Linked DNA regions of Drosophila melanogaster. The protein of the gene in region 2 interacts with the protein of the main gene of each other region in a pairwise test. Each region holds a gene or a part of one and is shown on either strand. Other genes may lie near its edges.

The links. The genes of interacting proteins can lie anywhere in the genome.
Region 1: the proteins of CG13775 (region 2) and ecd interact in a two-hybrid assay, tested with the Drosophila melanogaster proteins (one large-scale study listed by BioGRID).
Region 3: the proteins of CG13775 (region 2) and tup interact in a two-hybrid assay, tested with the Drosophila melanogaster proteins (one large-scale study listed by BioGRID).

The regions. Positions count from the first base shown.
Region 1 is NT_037436.4:2,262,685-2,268,612, forward strand, and holds ecd (ecdysoneless), read right to left. Parts: upstream 3,174-5,928; 5' UTR 3,092-3,173; coding exon 2,812-3,091; intron 2,739-2,811; coding exon 964-2,738; 3' UTR 897-963; downstream 1-896. Other genes in the region: CG13807 (uncharacterized protein), read left to right, coding at 289-610, 672-862; CG13806 (uncharacterized protein), read left to right, coding at 3,818-3,847, 3,920-4,783; obst-I (obstructor-I), read left to right, coding at 5,186-5,845. UniProt on the Drosophila melanogaster protein: Required in both the follicle cells and the germline for oocyte development.
Region 2 is NT_033779.5:6,953,857-6,960,161, forward strand, and holds CG13775 (uncharacterized protein), read right to left. Parts: upstream 3,095-6,305; 5' UTR 3,017-3,094; coding exon 2,762-3,016; intron 2,488-2,761; exon of another isoform or gene 2,452-2,487; intron 2,364-2,451; coding exon 1,401-2,363; intron 1,347-1,400; coding exon 729-1,346; 3' UTR 599-728; coding exon of another isoform or gene 537-598; 3' UTR 501-536; downstream 1-500. Other genes in the region: SA1 (stromalin 1), read left to right, coding at 1-471, 537-598; CG3430 (uncharacterized protein), read left to right, coding at 3,242-4,431, 4,490-4,733, 4,800-5,183; Atac1 (Ada2a-containing complex component 1), read right to left, coding at 5,327-6,305.
Region 3 is NT_033779.5:18,877,866-18,883,806, forward strand, and holds the start of tup (tailup), read right to left. Parts: upstream 3,397-5,941; 5' UTR 2,931-3,396; coding exon 2,792-2,930; intron 1-2,791.

The DNA of each region.
Region 1 (5,928 bases), on a different chromosome or scaffold from region 2:
GCCTTCAGCAGTGATTTGATTCAGTGATTTCAAGTTTGTAAGGCGGTGCAAGGAATTAATAAAATTAATTTGTAGTCACCATTAATATATTATAATTTAATAACTCTCTTAACCTGAATTGATTCCGATATATGTGTGTGCTTATGTGAGGTGTATTTATTTCGATAGCGTGACTTGACCAAATCACTGTTACTTCAGAATTGCAGCTGAACACATAAACAGCTGTCGCAGCTGAGCTGTGTTGAAAAATTCAGTCGAAGGGAGTTTATTTGTATAAATACCGAAACAATGGTGGATCCCAACCGAAAGATAAACCGTCTGGTCGAAAGGGACCTGAACTTCCTGGAGTCCTGCGAGCTTGAGTTCGCAGACCGCTTCACTGACGACGACCCAGAGTTCATGGCGCACTGCAGCAAGCCTGTGCCGGAGCCGCCAATTGTGGAGAACTGGATGGGAGGTGGCGGAGGAGGAGGCGGCTTCCAGGGCGGAGGAGGCGGTGGTCATCCCTACCACAATCGCTACAACGGACATCGCAGAGGAGGCGGCGACAGGGGCTGGCAGCGACGAGGAGGAGCTGGCTACCACAACAACCAGGACAGGGGATTCAGGGGTAATACCCGGGAAGAAGCTCAGTTTCTATTTATAGCTTACCAACGCATTTGTTCCCACAGACAACCGGCGCAACAACAGATACGATCACATCGATCGCCGGAATCGGTACGAAGGAGGCGGAGGGTCCGGAGGATCTGGAGGCTACAAGCGCTCCCATGATCATAACCAGAGAAATGATACTCCCAATAACGAACCACCCATGAAGGTCAGACGCGACTATGGAAACTTTGTGCCTGCATCCAAGGATTAGTTATCGAATATATCAAATAAGAATACTCTGCATTACATTGAAATATTCACATTGACGTTTATTTAATGGACTTAAGACTATACTAATTCCTGTAATCCCGCTTAAACGGCCGACTCAGATATATCCTTTTGTTCCTTGTCCTCGACAGCCGACATGCCCACGCCCATGGCGCTAAACAGATTGGATACAGGACCTGCGCCGCCAACCTGCGATTGGTAGCTATCCATCATGTTGCGCAGCGTGTTTACGTTTATATTGATGGGCTCAAAGTCCTCAATGTCATCGAAATCGTCCTCGTCCGCCTGTGGAGCTGTCTTCTTCTTGCCGTGGAAGGACTTGCCCACGCTGGTCTGAGCCAACTCGCGGTCCATCTGCTCCATATACGATTGAATCTGTCGATCGAGTGGGAACACACTGCCGCCTCCAGAAAGTGCATTTAGATTACTCTCCATGTCGTCCTCGTCCGCGTAGTCGCTCATCTCCGAGGTGGAGTCCCAGTTGTCCTCGGGTATTACGAAATCCAGGAAATTCCGCACATGGGTGCTGTCCGGTTCCTCCGGCTGGATGACGGAATTGCGCTGGCACGCCTTGCGCATGGAGGGATTCTTCTTGACCTTTGCTGTCAGTCCTGTGGAACCGTTTGCCTGCGGCGGCGGCTCGTCATCGTCTGAGTCCAGTTCTGGCTCCTCGAGCCCTCGGTGCTCAATGCCCTCGTAGTTGGACTGCCGATCTAAGAACTCCGCCAGCTGCTTGGTGAACTCCTCGGCATTCATTTGTCCGTTCGGCTTGTAGAGCTTCTTGGGTCCGTAGCGATCCTGCAGCATGGAGTCTAGATCCTCAGCGCTGATATTCAACCACTCATCCGAGTCGCTGGGCTGCAGGTTGTTCTCCTCATCGCGCAGCTCCTCGGAAGCAGCCTCCGCTGGATGGAGCAACAGGTCGAGGATCTCGGCACCCGCTCTGGAGGCTGTGCGGAAACGCTCCTGGTTGCCACGAAAGTACACCTTGGCCTTGTTCAGCAGCTCCTGGTACTCGGCACTGCCCTCGATGTTGTCCCGGAAGTAGCCCTTGCTCAGCAAGCTCCGCAGATACGATCGCCAGGCAGGAAGGTCCTCCAGCTGTTGGCCCTCAACCCGCTTGGCTTGAGTGGCCAGGATCTCCAGTCCACTGGCCAGCTTCAAGCCCAATAGTTGTTCCTTATATCGTTCCGGCTCGGATACAGGATCCGTGAGATGCCAGCCGAGTCTCTTCTCGGGCAGATACTGCTGGTGCGACAACATGGCGTACAGACAGCGGGTGAAACGCACGTTGGTGCGCACGCGTGTGGCCTCCGGTGGGAAATATCGCATGGTGCGAAGTGCCTTGATGTCCAGCGAGTCCCGCTCGCAGAAAGCCCTAACCGCCGAGGAGAGCAGCCTTGGCTTCTGTTTCAGAAGCTGTGCAGCGCTATGCGGGAGCTCCAGCACCTGGCGATGAATGGAGAAGTGCGGCTGAGCGATCTGGTACTCCTTAAGCCGCGCGTCAATGCACGACTGTATCTCCTGCGAGCAGCGGTACAGGGTGGGATTCATTCGTATACGTTGCACAGCCATGGCCATGGTCAGTGGCTTGTCCTGGCTGCTGGCGGCGGAGTTCTGGAGAAGCTGCAGGTGACCACCGACCAGATAAACGCGCTGCTCGCACGTTTCCGGAGACGCCCAGTCGGGCAGGGCGTCCGCCGCCTCGATGAGCAGGAACTCGCCATCCGAATCGCTCACCCGTGCAATGCAGTCGCCGCGTGCACGTGTGATCTCCGTGAGCAGATAGACAACGAACCACTCGTCGCTGATGTTGTCGCCATAGTGGGTTACGCCGTGGAAGTGCGGTGGGAGGTCGCCTGGGCGGGGACATGGAAATGGATGATTTCGAATTGCAGAAACAAAGCTATTTATAGCACATTGTGCGCATACCCAGTTCCGCCTCCTCCTCCGGGTTTGTCTCCTCGTTCAGCAGGCGCTCCTCGGCGCCGCCCAGCCTCACCTGAAGCTGAAACTCGTCCTTGTGCCACAGATAGCTGCGCTCTAAGGACTTTTCCCTTACAATGGCCGAGATCTCGTTGCGGATCTGAAGCATCAGTTTGCGCAGCGCGCCCTCATCCTGTACGTTGTCGGGGATCTTGGGAAAGATGTAGTACTCCACGAAGTCCTCCTCGCGGACGAACTCCAGATTGCTGCCTGGAATCTTGCTCATCCTTTGTCCTTTTGCTCCTCCTCCTTTTTTTTATTTGTTAGGGCGTTCGAGGTGACACTATCGACATGAGTGCGTGCTTCCGAACTGACTATCGTTCAAAGAAGTTCGTTCACACTGGTCGCGCAGCAGGGTTCCGCTTCAGCAGAGCGGTGGAGGACGTGGCTAAGCGCTTAGCGGTGACCCAACCCATTCCCGTTATTTCTCTCAGCGATTTTTTATGATTGAAGATTAGGTATGAACCGAAGATTAGGCATTAAATTCCTTTACTAAAAGTGCATATTTACAAAAGCTAGCGGTCAGTTTTATTGAAAGAAATGGTATTTAAATATTTACTCGAGAGCACTTTAAAGTGCTCTGAATAAGTCGGCCAAACAAAATCCCGACTTGTTTACACATTAAACACCCACTCCACTTGACACTCCAGCTAGTTGGACCAATTTTTAGTAAATGTCGTTCACTCACCCATCATTGCGGCATTCCGATCCGCGTAGTTGTTGTAATTAGAAACGCCGCTGCGTTTGCCACTTTGCCCAACTCCCATCGCCTTTTCAAAGTTGATAGATAGACAAACAGACACCCAAAAGATATAAAACGCTATCTAAAGTCTGCTATTTCGGGACTTTTATTGCTGTCACCATATGAGTCTGAATCAGACAATCGAAGATTCTCGTGGAAGTTGGACCTAAACTAACCAGAAACAAAGTCCAAAAGGGGAAATACATCGTCATGTTCTTGGAAAGAATACTAGTGAGCGTGGTAGGTAGTTTTTCAGAATAGGATAAACTTAAGTGAATGGCATTTGATTTTTATGTCCCCACCGCCCAACAGTTACTGCTCAACCTGGTGGCTCTGCTTATGGGAGCCACTGTTACCACCCGGCGCATCCAGCCGCGGGAGACAAACTCCTGCGAGGGCCGTCAGAGTCCCGGGCCCATCTGCGAGTCCTGCGAGCTGCTGGCCACCTGCGTGCGTCACTCCAACGGATGGGTGAACATTCCCGTGGAATCGTGCGACGTGGCTAATGGATACTACTGCAACGCCCGGCTGGGGAGCTGCACCAACGAGACGGGCCCGTGTCATCCGTTCGGCATCGAGGGCAACTTTCAGTGCACCTCGCAAGGCATCTTTCCAGATCCGTACGACTGCCAGAAGTACCACATGTGCTACTTCGTGGGGGCCACTCTGGTGGCTGCTGCCGTTGATTGCGGCAACGACAAGGCCTTCGATGCGACGACTGGCCAGTGCACTTTGACCCTGACTGACTCCGTCTGCCTGCAGCGACAGTACTACTGCCCCAATGCCGGACACGTGGCCGCCTGGCCCACCAATCCCAATATCTTCTACGTGTGCAAGTCGACGGTTAACCAGAACCTGAACGACACCATCGTCATCTACCCCTCGCTGCACAGGTGCAACGATGGCGAGACCTTCGTGGACTACGTCTGCCGCAGCGGATCGAATGTCCTGCCGCCCAGCACCGATGATCCTTCGGTGATCATCGAGGATCCCAACGACGACGACTTTTCGGTGCTGCCCAACACCTGTCAGCACGTGGGCTTGATGGCCGATGGAAACGACTGCCGGAAGTACTACTACTGCTCGGCTCTAAATGGCACCCTGCGGCACATGGACTGCCCCAATGGGACTTACTACCGACCGGAGCTATCCTCCTGCGTCCTGGGAAGCTGCTGAGGAAGATGCATTCCTGCACTTTATTTATTCCTCTTCAATGGATTACATTTAATAAACAACTCATGTTTACCCTGGAATAACAATCTATTTGACATGAATTTATGAATTCCCATTTCAAAAGGTATCAGTTTGATAATAAAGATTCAACCACCATGTCCGTGGGTAATTAAACCAGAATGAGTTCTTTGTTTTTTTCCAATAAAAGTGCAATAGAAATGGACTAGTACTGTCTTGGTTCTTTCTTGCTAAGAGTGCTGTGACTAGGTCATAAATGTTCCATAGAATGTTTTTTTCGTGACAACATTGCAGTTTATCTATTAATTATACCGAAACATTCTGCGTTTGGTTGTGAGGTACTATATAAGGCGGAGTGTGAAGAGGTCTACTTAGAAAGTTTGCAACATGGATTCATCTCGCCTGATTATCTGCCTCCTAACTTTTCTGTTGTTTCAAACGGGAAAAGGGTTGGGGAACGGCAGTTATCTGGAGCTCAGATTGGATGCAGCTGCTGAATCCTGTCCAGATGATTACTACTTTAACGAAACTATCCAAGCCTGCGTATCTACAGACACTACCAGCTGTACCAATCACCAAATCGGCAAATGTCCGATGGCCACAGAAATGGACGAGTTTTGCGTGTGCAAAGATAAGCACCTTCAGATCTGGAAATGCCCTGAAGGAACCTACTTCGATGCCAACCGATTGGTCTGCCGGGTGGGAAGCGTTGAGTGCCAGGACGATTATACTCCATCCCCATGTCCTAACAGCACGGCAAGCGATGTCTTCTGCCTCTGCATCGATGGCAAATGGCATCTTAACTACTGTCCAACGGGCTTTACCTTTGATGACGAGCTGCAGATTTGCCTGAACACAGGATCTGATGACGACGAGTTGCCCAGTTCGTCTGGAAAGTGCCAGCGGCTTGGATTGTTTGGTGATCCCGCTGACTGCTCTGGGTACTATCATTGTCGCGAAAAGGGCAGTGATATTGAGTATTTCAGATGCTCGGTAGGAACCATCTTCAATCTAATTTCCTTTGCGTGCGTTACTGGAACTTGTTGACCCAACATATTATAGTTATTGTAGCTAGCCTATCTTGGAATAAAACTGATTAAAACTGATTAAACTATTTTCAATGAATTCCG
Region 2 (6,305 bases):
TCGCTATGACGCTCCTTTTGAGCCTGATCACAGTCTTTAAGAGTCTGCAGGAGCAGAGTGAGGATGGCATAGTTTCAAAGAGTTCGCAAGAGTTTGTGGACCTCAAGGAGTTGGCCAAGCGATTTGCGCTCACATTTGGTTTCGATGCCATCAAGAATCGCGAATCTGTGGCCGCCATTCATCGTGGTGGCATTTATTTCGCTGCGAACAAGGAGCCAGATGATCCGGTGCGGGCTCCAACTCGCTTGCTCTTCCTGGAGGTTTTGAACGAGTTCAACTACAAGCTACTGAAGCAAGACAAGAAGGTCATAATGAGCTTTCTGGACAAGATAATACCACCCGCAATGCCATCCAGCCGAGCTGAGGAATGGCAGCCGCTGATATTATATCGCAATTCCTTGCTACATGGCGAAACTGATCAAGCGCCCGTCGCCAGCAAACGAGCCTACACACGTAAACGTCGAGATCATGGTAAGAATTTCATAGCTTTCATTTTATTTAGAATCAACATTATGAAAAACATGTTTTTAATTTAGATGAAGAAGAGGAGGAGGAGGAAGACGAAGAGGAACACAATGATCCTGATTACAGGGGCTAGGACCCATCAGGCAATCAGCCATACACGCGGCTTAAGTGCAAAATCTAATTTTCCGGAAAATCAAGTAGTTGTAAGATTAAAGCTAATATTATGTACATAAATACGTTTAAATTATATAAATTACTGTATCCTAATTGATTTCCGAATTGCTAAAGCTAAAGTTGGCCTTCATGAGCAACATTTTGGATGCACTTTCGGGGCTCAAGCCCGCCTGCATGTCGAAATACAAGTGCGTTGATTTTCTAAATAAGCCTTCACTAACCACACTTGCTGCTGGTGCTGATAAGAATTTCCTAACAATGCCATACAAGGATATGTATTTTATGTTGCTCCTCCACCAAATCAGGGGATCCATGTTCCTATCGATTCTGGGTTCGGAGTTGTATAGATATAGCAGATTCTTAATCTGAGACTGGGAGCCCATTGACGTATTTGGCTGTTGAGTGTTCGTCGTTCCAGTTGTCAGTATGCTATCCAGAATGCTATCGATCTTTGATTCATTCTTCTGGGACGATGTGGATGACACTTTGATTATTTTCAGCGGTGGCTGACCATTGCAATCCTCTGGCACTCCAGCGAGCTGAAGCAGAACTTCATTGGCCACCAACTGCTCCTCACGTTCGGTGAAAAATGCTTGCTTATATCTCGGATCCAAATATGTGGCCATCAAAAAGTTGATGTCGCTAGTGATGTGGGCGAACTTCATTTCCAGTTCTTCAAGCAACTTTCTGGCGAAACTGCATATAGTCTAGACATTCGAAATATTAGACAATACTTTATGGTTTTATCTACTGCAACTTACCACAGATGAGACAAAGTTATGGACATCTGTTCGGAGGGAATCCCGTAAAGCGGCAACCAGCGGGATTACGGATGAGGTGGTCGTAGATGGATTGCTCCATATCTTGATTGTTTCTTCACAAGGCTGCATTACTTTGCTGCACAAATCGATCTCTATCCATTCATCTGGATATATTTGGACCAGACTATACTCTTCGCAGTACAAGGATAGAGCATCTTTCATTCGAAACACGCTGCTCATCATCTGAAAAGCGGAATTCCATTGACAGGGATCGTAAGGTGTAAGTGTGCACGGGTCTCGCGTCAAGCGGATCTCTTGAATGAATTTCAGATGATCGTTGGCCATCTTAGACGACGCAAAATGGTCAACTATTTGCTTGCACTTGGATGAAAGGTTCTGCAGTAATTCGTTCGATTGCAAAGCAAATCGAACGCACATCTGCAGGCGGTGCACACTGCAATCGGGCAGGGAACCTGGCAGCGCCGTCATCTCGTCCCTGATTACGCAGTGTATCTTCTCTTTGGGCACCTCAATGGCCAAGCTGGGCACAAGATCTCGAATGCAACAAGCTAGCTTCGAAGTGCTTTCGTAATTCAGAGCCTCGCATTTCAGCATTAGGCGGTGAGTCTGAAAATCCCTTGATATTCCGGAGCAGGACAAGCTCAGCAGTCCTTCGCCTTTGTCACCACGCCAGAGACTCGTAGACAACGATATGGCATCCAGCAGATCCACCTGTTGCTTCAAATGCTGATGCATTTTCCTTTGTATATCCTCGCACAGTATCTTCTCATAGTAGCTCCTTGGTTGAATCGTGTACCGCGGCTGCAGCGTCCTAATGAAATTTACGAATCCTGGTCCTTCAATGAACTCAAAGGAGTGATTTAGTAGCATGAGGGCCAACTTCTCATCACAGCGTTTGCTGTAGGATATATCCTCGGTGTCCAATGGATCTGAATCTGTTTCCTAAAATGATTAATAGAATAATTTAATGCATCAGATTAGTGAAAAACGCATAATTTATAAAAATATAATACTAAGACCATAACAGTACATTTTTAAAACCTCCTTAACTACACTTTATAAACACAACACATGTTTGCCGATCTAGCCAAACGCGGATAAAAATCCGCATCCGCTGTTGCTATATTAGTAAAAAGTTTTAAATAAGAGAAGGCATAAATTACTTTATGAACTACCAAAGAAACTATATTTGAATGGAAACTTAAGTTTGGGGAAACCATCTCCACATGACAGAATATCTAGAAGGGCATGTACCCCGATTTCACATAAGGTACACTTCTTGCACAGTACATATGCATGTACATAGGTATGTATGCACATCTATATGCTATCCCACTTACGTGCAGATTCAATTCTAGCTGGGCTGTGGGGTGCTGTGGCGAACCGATGGAGATCTCGCTCTTAACCAGGTCCAGGTACTTTATGTCCCCGGATAGAGATAGGAACTCCGGTGGGTGCTTGCTCTTCAGATGATTCCGCAGACATGTTGTGCCGCGTCCTCGCCTCGAGTAGTTCCTGTTGCACAGCAGACAGGTGGCCACTGTGCCGGATGTCTTGTAGAAGTACTGCCACACATTGCTTTTCTTCTTGCTCATCGCTGCAATTCTTTGGTAATTCTCAAATTGTACATTTTTTGCGGATGTCCACATCCGCCTCTACATCCGTTCTGCGGCAGAGTTCGACATCCCTGGCAGATATCGATAGGCCCATCGATGACCATCACTAATATGCTGCAATCAGTTTTTGGCGCGCCAAAGCAGCTGTTGTTTTTTGCATTCGAGGTTTTTGAGGCATTTGCAAATTCATTCGTTAACTAGATAATGCCCTGTGCGATGGAGCTGCCCAGCACGCCCGATGAACTGGCCGCCCAGCAAGCGGACAGCGCTGCACTCAAGGACTTGCTCAAGGATCCCAGTCGTTGGCACTCGATTCCCCTGCTCAACTACACGCCTCTTCACAAGCTGAAGGATCAGACTCTGGTGCGCTTTCGTGGAATGATCCAGGACATGATGGACCCAGAAATCTATCTGGAGCGCTACGAAGTGAAATCCGCCGACGGCAGCAAACGTGTACAGGAAGGAAAGTACAGGGACTGCTTGAAAATAGCCAATGGCGAAGTGATTGACTACAACGCCGATGGAAACGTGCATGGAGAGAGGCGTACCATGTTCGTGGTCTCTGTGCCTGGTCTGAACGATTGGAGCAAGGAGCATGAGAAGCTGTGCTGTCCCCAGATCGATTTGGCCAGTCTGGGTCAATCTCCCAGTTCAGCCAAGAAGCGGACTATTGTAGGCGAAGAAGAAGCCATGGATGTGGACGTTGCGAGCGAAACAACGTTCAAGCGACCCTGCCTAAAAGAGATTCAAAAAGATAGCGAGCCAGTCGGCGCCTCCAAATCCTCTGTTCTTGGGTCTGATTACCTGATTAACTCGCCTCTGCCGGATCGTCCCAGCATGGCATGCATGGTAAAGGTTTACGAGGAGTTCGATACCTACCAGCTTAACTCGCTGGTCGACTTTGTGGGCTTTCTGTCAGTGGATGCTTCACTAGACGCCGCTACCCTGGAAATAGACGATTGTGAAAACTTGAGTGAACTGCAGGCAGCTCATCCATCGCCATTTCTTATACCCCGCCTGCATGCCTTCGGAGTCCAGGTGCTGCCGCATGCCAATCCGCTGCTGGACAAAAGCCTTCGACAGCCAACGGAAATATGTGAGGAGACGTATCCAACCCACCTTGCTGTGCACAAAGATCTGCGCATGCTTCTTAAACTCTGCCTCTTTGATGACGATCTGGCTGCCGAGTATTTGCTCTCCCACCTAATATCTACGGTCTACAGTCGTTCTGAGATGCAGAGCATCGGCAAGTTCGCCCTTAACCTTTGTAATCTCCCTAAGAATTGTGAGGCGTATGCAACCAAGTTGTATCAAATTCTGGAGCTGCTACTGCCGGCCAGCCATTACATGCCCATGACTCTCGTCACACTAAACACGGCAGCCTTTGCCCCAAAGTAAGTTGGCTAAGCAGAAATAGTATAAAATTGAATACCTATTAATGAGTACTTGCAGGAAGGATTATGAGACAAACAAGCTGGTTTCCGGCGTACTACAGTTGGCTCCCCATACGCATTTGGTGCTCGACGAGACGTGCATGCAACAGGGCAAGCTGGAGGCCAATGGTGTTCATGCCGTTCAGCATTTAGCGCACTTGATCAATAATCAGGAACTGAAGTGCGACTTTCAGTATTACCAAATAGACTACCAAGCAAATATTCCAGTTCTCGTGCTCAGTGAAGGGCGAAGTATGTTGCCGGTAAGAATATAAGTTTATATAAATAATCATTATATCCAATAGAAACTATTAATGATATGTTTTCAGAGCGATTTTGTGCTGCCCATTAATGCCGATTCTAAGGCCGTGGAACTTGTTGATGAATCTCTAAAGGCAGCCCACCACTATCTGCAGCCATCACGTCTGCAGCAGTTTCGCAAGTACTTGACCACAGCGCGCACTAGCGGCTTCAACGTGAGCGAGGAGCACACTGAAATGATCCAGCAGGATTTCGTGGACATGCGTAAAGCTAATGTCAAAAGTAATGCCGATGATCTGCATGGATTGCTGGTCCTCTCACGGCTGCTGGGCATCGCCCGGGGGAAGGATACGTTGGACAAAGAAACATGGCAGCTGGCTACGGAGTTCGAAGCAAAGCGTCGCCAGCGTATTCAATCTCTGCCGAAATCATCTGCCCAATTGCGCAATTAAGAGGGCCTCTCTTTTATACCATTTAATATTAAGTTTTTATAAATAAAATAGAATTTTTTAAAATTATTCTCTTTATATTTAATTTGTAGCTTTACAGGCAAGTCTAGTAATTTAGTACTCAAGTAAATGGGACTCTAGGAGCGTCATGACTCTTGGTCCACTACAACTTCATGACTTAAATGCTCGAAACGCCCTTCGATTAGCTGACTGGCCAGGCAATCTCCGCACAGATTAAGGTAACAATAACAACTGTTACAACGCCATTGGGTCCTGGTCACAGATGCCTCTTCGCACTCGGCACACTTGGCGGCCAGCAAGTCTGGCTCATATCCGTCCTCCATTTCCCGTTTCTCGTCCTGAATGGCTGATAGAAGCTTAAGGCATAGTTCCTGTTTTCGCTTTGACTCCGCATTCAGATCGGCATCCATGTACTCGGATTCGATCTTTGGTTCGATCTTGGATGCCGGCATAAGGAGCATATCGCTCGCAGGCGATGGGATTCGCAGGTCGTCAAATGTGAAATCGTCCTCTGGCATTTGTAGCGATATATTATGAGCGGGGAAGAAGGTTGACTTGCGAAGTTTGATCTTCGGCTTACTCAAACCAGGACGTCGATGCTTGGGTATGCGACCGGGCACAGGCATTCCGGCATCGTGCAGCTTTTGGAAATACTTCTGGACACGACTATACACTTGCTGTGCCGTTCTGTTGCCCAAGGCCTTCGCTATCTTCCCGAATCTGCGCATTTCCACTTCCTCTGGCGGATACTGGATGAGCAGCTGCTCCAAGCGACTCTGCTCTTCGTTGGTCCACAAGCGATTGAAATTCTCCGACCGTCCATTGCTCCTGTCCCGATTCTTGTTCGCCTCTTGCGTCCATGAAGACGCATCGGTCGGTGTCTCATTTGTGCCCCCTTCCTCGTCATTGGGCGACAGAGTTGGCAAGTCCGGTAGAACGGTCGTGGTGATGTAATTATCCGCTATCAAAGGCTCGTTGTTTCGCAGTTTGTCCAGCATATGTTGCGGATTCTCCAAGTAGATATTTTGTGTGGCTTCCAATTCCTCAATCTGCTGATGCACCCGAATCCTTTGTGCCTGCAGCACGGCCAAAGTGCGCAGCAAA
Region 3 (5,941 bases), about 12 Mb from region 2:
CGCGTTGCGTATACGAAACATCTTTTCCTTTCACTGACGTTTCAGCAGCTCTATAAATAACCAAGAGATCTGAGATCGGTGATCTATGGCTAAATAACCAGCCTCATCTGAAAACTCGGTTCCATTCTCTTTCGTTCGCAGACGACTTAACCTTATATGGCCGACGATTGACACTTTACAAATTATTCGAAAAATTATTTCAACTTTTTGTGCATTGGCTAAACATTTGCCCAATCCATTTTTCACAATTAACTTTCGAAAGGTTTTGTGTTTATTCATCGAAAATGCCAATTAGCATTCGGTGAATTTGCTGGCGAGAAATTTAAATGGAATTAATATGAATTAGATTAGGGAACATGTGTACGACGAGTAAGGGGAAAATCCGTGCCACCCCCGCTTCGCATTTTATTCAAATTTTTGGCTAATTGGTTAACTATAAAAATAAAAATCGCTTGGCTTTTATGGCCGCAAATAATTGTCAATTTTTGATGGTCTTCAACATAAAGTGGTACAATTTTATGGCAGCCGCCAACATGAAAAACCGAAACTAGTTCAACGCCCTGATGTATGCAGCGATCTCGGACTTACATAATTTTCTATAGAGCACGGAGAGTAAACAAAGGCTCTTCAGATACTTCAGATGGCGATTTCTTTTTGTTTTTACTATATTTAATTAATTTAACGACTACTTGAGAAGTTGCCAACGACATGTTGACTGGAGGCCTGGGTCTGTGACATGGAAAACTCATTAAAATGTTTACAGCGCTCAAAAATCAACAAACAAACAAAACTCGCCTCGGAACCAAGCGAACTAACAAAAGAGAGTGGAGCTGGCTGATACTAGAGGGGGGGGGGACGAAACGAAAACTACAAAAATTGTTTTCATTTCAAATATCAACTTGAAGCTGGAAAACTCTAACTTAAAGTTTTGTCAGCCGCCAACTAACTCACAGAGCAACTAAGCAGAGCGATGGGGAGGAAACTTTGTGAAAAGTTTTCAAATTAAAATGTTCGGACATTAAATATTTACCAGCGCTCCATGGCCGACAACTAATTTGAATTTAAATTACAATTACTAAAATTCAATGCAATTTAAATGATTCGCAGCTACAACTGCATGTGCTGCATTATTCCAGCCTCATATATAATTCAATTTCCCCGAACCCATTGTATGTAGTATATGTGCTTATGATTATGATTTTTCATGTTTTCCTTTTTTTTTCGGAATTTTTGTTTGGCTTTTTTGTGTTCTGCGGTCGTTCGTTTGGTTAGACAACTGTCAGCCAAAACATTTGTCACAATTTAGCATACGAAATAAAATTTGAATAAAATATATTCCTCTTTCTGTCACACACGGATGGCATTTTTTAATGACACTCTTGGTTTATGAATTCATAAAATGCATTTTGGTTAACAAACTTTAGGCTAGTTAAAAATTTGTCACATTATCGCATGAGATACATTTGTGATACATTTCCAGCTCTTTTCAGCTTTTTTCATGCAATTGCTTGCCCGCTTTGCTTGCGCGCTTAATTGCTCAGCATTAAAATGTCATTCAACCGTTAATTGGCTTCTATATAATATGTAAAGTGTGCTTAAAATAAAATACGGCTATAATTTAACAGTTATTGCCGTACTGAAACAACAAGTGACAGGTCGAGATAGGGTCTAAGCCCATTACAAAAGCTGCAGCGACAAGTCGGCTAACGACTGTGGCCCGAAAGAAATCCCGAACCTAAAGATAGAACCTCAGAAAGTCGTTCAATATACAAAAAAAAAGATCCTCCAATTTGACAAAAGAATGGCACAATAAAAATTATTTATGGATTCGTATTTTCTTGGTATCACTTTAATTTGTTTGTAATTACTTTAGCGCAGCCTTGCTCACATCACATCCATTGGCAAAATTAAAAACTCAAGGTATGAAAGAGTTCAACGCGTGCCTGAACTTTTTAATGATTTTGGTATAAAAATAACTTCGACCTTCGTTACAAATAAACTTGACTAACAGTTCATGGTTTTAAAGCTCGGAACCTTTGAGTCCGAGCCTTGATCTCTGATATCTGGAATTTAAAATGGTGGGCATTAAAATGTTTCAAAAATAAGCAAGACAAGTTTACAACTGTGATTTGGGTGCGAGCATTTGTTAACACGGCTTTTTACTTATTTTATTGGCTTTTAATGTCCAAAGCGGGCTTTCCTCGTTCATTTTCCATATTTACGAATCGAGAAAGTTACCCATCAGTGGCTCTTGTTTAATGACTATTTAATTTGCCAATTTTTGTTTGGGGACTAGGACAATAGCCATAAATAAGTCATTAACTGCTTTAAATAGCTTTATTAGCGGCAAATGATTCGACACTGATGCGTGATCTATGTAATGATGTTTCAATTGCAGGTATACAATTTCTGAATAGGTTGATTTAAAATGCAATTTAATCTTGGTTTACAGTGGATCAACAAAGCGCTTTTTTAGACTAAACCCCTATTAGCCTCTAAGTTATTTGTCAGGACATTTATTTAAATCCAAATTTTAAATCTAAGGGAACTAAGGAAAAAAACTGTAATGCCTTCTTAAACAGACCGAAAGTACTTAGAACCAACAAATGTATCTAGAAGATACAATAGCCTCATATCCAAACTGTGGAAGGGCATTCCATTGTTCTTTTTTTAAGACTGTCCCTAGGTAAGTGATCGTGCTATCTCCAGTATTAAATATCGTCCTTTTCAAGGATGCAGCCCAAATAGCCCGAAATCGGAAAGCCAGCAGCCCTTGAATATCGGTACTCACTTATCACATCGTGTCCATGGCAATCCAAATCCAGGTGATGGTTCATCACCAGCGATGGCTGTAATCCAGTTTGATTGTGGTTGTGATTGTGCAACGGTAGCTGGTGAGCCAAATGGCCACCAATCTCTGCCATTACCATATATTTGGCTGACAGGACACTCGGCGAAGCACACTCGAGATATTTGTGGGCTGGGAATCTTGAGAGCGGGCGCCTTTTCGTTTTGGGCCGTACTCAAGAAGTTTCCGGCATTGAGCAGGGATATTTGTGTAAGGCACTTGTACTGGTTTACTTATTCCGTGAAGTTTGCTTGAATTACTCAATATGAGACCGGGACACAGAGCACTGGGTTTTCGGCGAATTTAGCGGGATTATCACGGCTGTGTGATCCGTGTGCGCACACGCGTTTTGTTCGCAGGGATTTGGATCTATGGTGAGGGATTTAAGAGTCTCTCGCATCCGAAAAGGCAAATCCGACGGCTATCGAGCTAAGACGGTCGATGTTCGCGATACGACGGCTATATAGTAGCGATGACGACAACCGACCAACGACGATGTCTGGCGCACAAACATGCTCACTGCACGGAGACTGCTGAACGACTAAACCGGTCGGCGCTTCGTTCCGTTTGCCGTACGTTATCCGCACGCCAGGGAGCCAGCGAGCTAGCGAGCCAGCCAGCCACTCACCCCGAAATGTATCTCGCAGATACATTCTGCCTGCGAGAGCAGTGCGACTAGCTCGTCGCTCCGCAAGGGTAGGGAACTGGTGTGGCACTGGTGCAGCTGCAACCGGTTCCGAGCCAGTTCTGCGTGTACTTCTCGGATAGCCGATAGCGGATAGCCGACTCGATGGACTGACGGCCTGCAGGGGGGGGGGAGTTCGAAACAGGAACAGGTGTTTTTGTCGCACTCGCTCTGCGGGCAGCGCTCTCACGCTCCGTCCTTTTCTGGCAGCAAGCCCATCTCTTTCGCTTCCACTTGGTGGGCCTTTTCTAAATGGCGGCGAAGCGGGCCAATCGGTTGGACGGAGTGCGCATGACCGACTCCAGCTGTGGCTGCGGGATCCACAATCCACAAATGGAGGCAGTCAGGAGGTGGGCCCACATCCTCGCTCCCTTCGCTGGCCTTTTGTTTTGCCAATTTCGCTTTTGGTTTTCGAAGTTTGTACTACAAAATGGTTGCACTTGTAAGCAAGCGCACCCCCCTGGCCAACCCTACCCCACTCTTCATCCGTCGTCTGTCTTTCTACCCCCGAACTGTTGTAATGCGCTTGTCGAACTTTTCGGCTGTAGCCCCTCCGCTTTTGGGGCTCCCCTTTTCGCCCCTTTCCGCCCCCCTTGTCTCACCTGCCCGTCTTGACTTGGCTCTGCGGTCTGAAGGCGTCTCGTTTCGGGTGTGCTGCAACATCATAATAATTATTGATCTTTTGATTTCGTCTTCTGGTCTTTTGGGGAGCGCTCCAATCTCCACCCCCTCCCCCCCTGTTGCTCTGTTGCTCCTTCAAGGCCCTGTTGCAATTTTAATGACGCCCCCGTACGGCAATTTATATATGTGTTCGAGTGGGTGGCGGTCGGTGTCTGTGTTGCGGTTAGCAGTTCGTTGACTTGGCACCCAGTTGCCAACATTTGCTGGCCGATGATTTGTTGTAATGTCAGTTACCAGTTACCATCACCGACTCTTGGGGTGCACTCGAAGAAAAGCTTGTTTAAGCAATTTTGAAGAATGCTTATCTGTAGGCCAGGAAGAAGTTTAAGATGAGTTGTGGTGGTAAATTATTTTACTTAAATGTGCACATTTCTAAATTATATAGAATATGTGATAGAGATACAATCTAGTTTTATAATATTTTAAGTTTAACATCATAAACATATTGTGTTACTGTACAATTTAGTTAGATTTCCTTATTATTTTTTCGAGTGTCTGTAGCCTCTGACTACTTTTTTGCCATTTTTATTTGACGTAGGGTATTTTGAAGGAGTGGCCCTGCTGCGAACAGGGCTGCTTGTGGGTCTGGTAGAGTTTGAGCTGGTTTGGGGGGTGGTGGCGCTGCTGCTGTGTTGTATAATCAAGGTCATCGAGCTACAGTTTCAGTGGCCCGCTTGCTCCGTTTGGGGCACTCATTCATAGCCGTGTCTCAGTTAGCCAGACGCCGACATTAGTACATACTTGTTACAGCGAGCCACCCCCTTGCTACCATCCAACACCATCCTCTGCCACCCCCAACAGTACCCCAACCACCCCCGAATTGCGAGGCTTTCGCGCCATCTCCTTCGCACTCGAACGACAGCTGGCCAGCAGAAAACAGCTGACTGATGTCTGTGTGTTCGCCTGCGAGGGTGTGTGTGCCGGCGTATCTGTGTGCGGGGCAACTAGGCAGCTGGATGAGTGTGCGTTTGCTGGCAACATGAATTCAAAATTTAATTAGGTCCCGTCCATTAATTGGGTTAATTGAAATGCCGGTAAAAGTCAACGCTTACGAATTAGGACATGTCACTCAAGCCACTGCGCATCGATATGGTCGGAACAACGTTTAACTTGTTGGTTGAAATAGTTTTGTTTCGATTCGTTTAATTGAAATTGAGCAGACATGCTATATTAGCCATTGTTTAATGCATTTTTCTGCTTAAGCCCACGGCTGATCTTAGCCATTGGACAACTTACTGTCCTGGACCTAATTGCTAAGCTACCGAGCTTAACTTGGCTTTAATTGTTGGCGGCAGCTAATAAGGAAGATTGCATAGAGTTGTTTCTGTTTGATGCTTCACTAATGCTTCAGGAGGTAATTATATGTAATTATACTCTTATATGCAAAATATTAAATTATTCTAGTAGGATAGTATAAGCATTTATATTATCGAACTTATGGTATAACTTGACTATTTATTTCAAATAGTCATTTGTAATTAACATAAGTAAAGATATAGATTTCAAGGTTTTCCAGTACATTTCCCAAAGAGTTATGGTTATTGATTTCAATCTTCTAGAAAATAAATATATTGATTGAAATGAAGGTGAGTGGCATTCTTGTAATAAATATATACAAAATCGCAACCTTGGGCGCAAATAATATTTATTGCAGTTCTACGTTTATGCAAATGATTACGTTGTGTTCCTAGAATTTTGCCCTTTCATGGATCCTAATTAAATAAGTT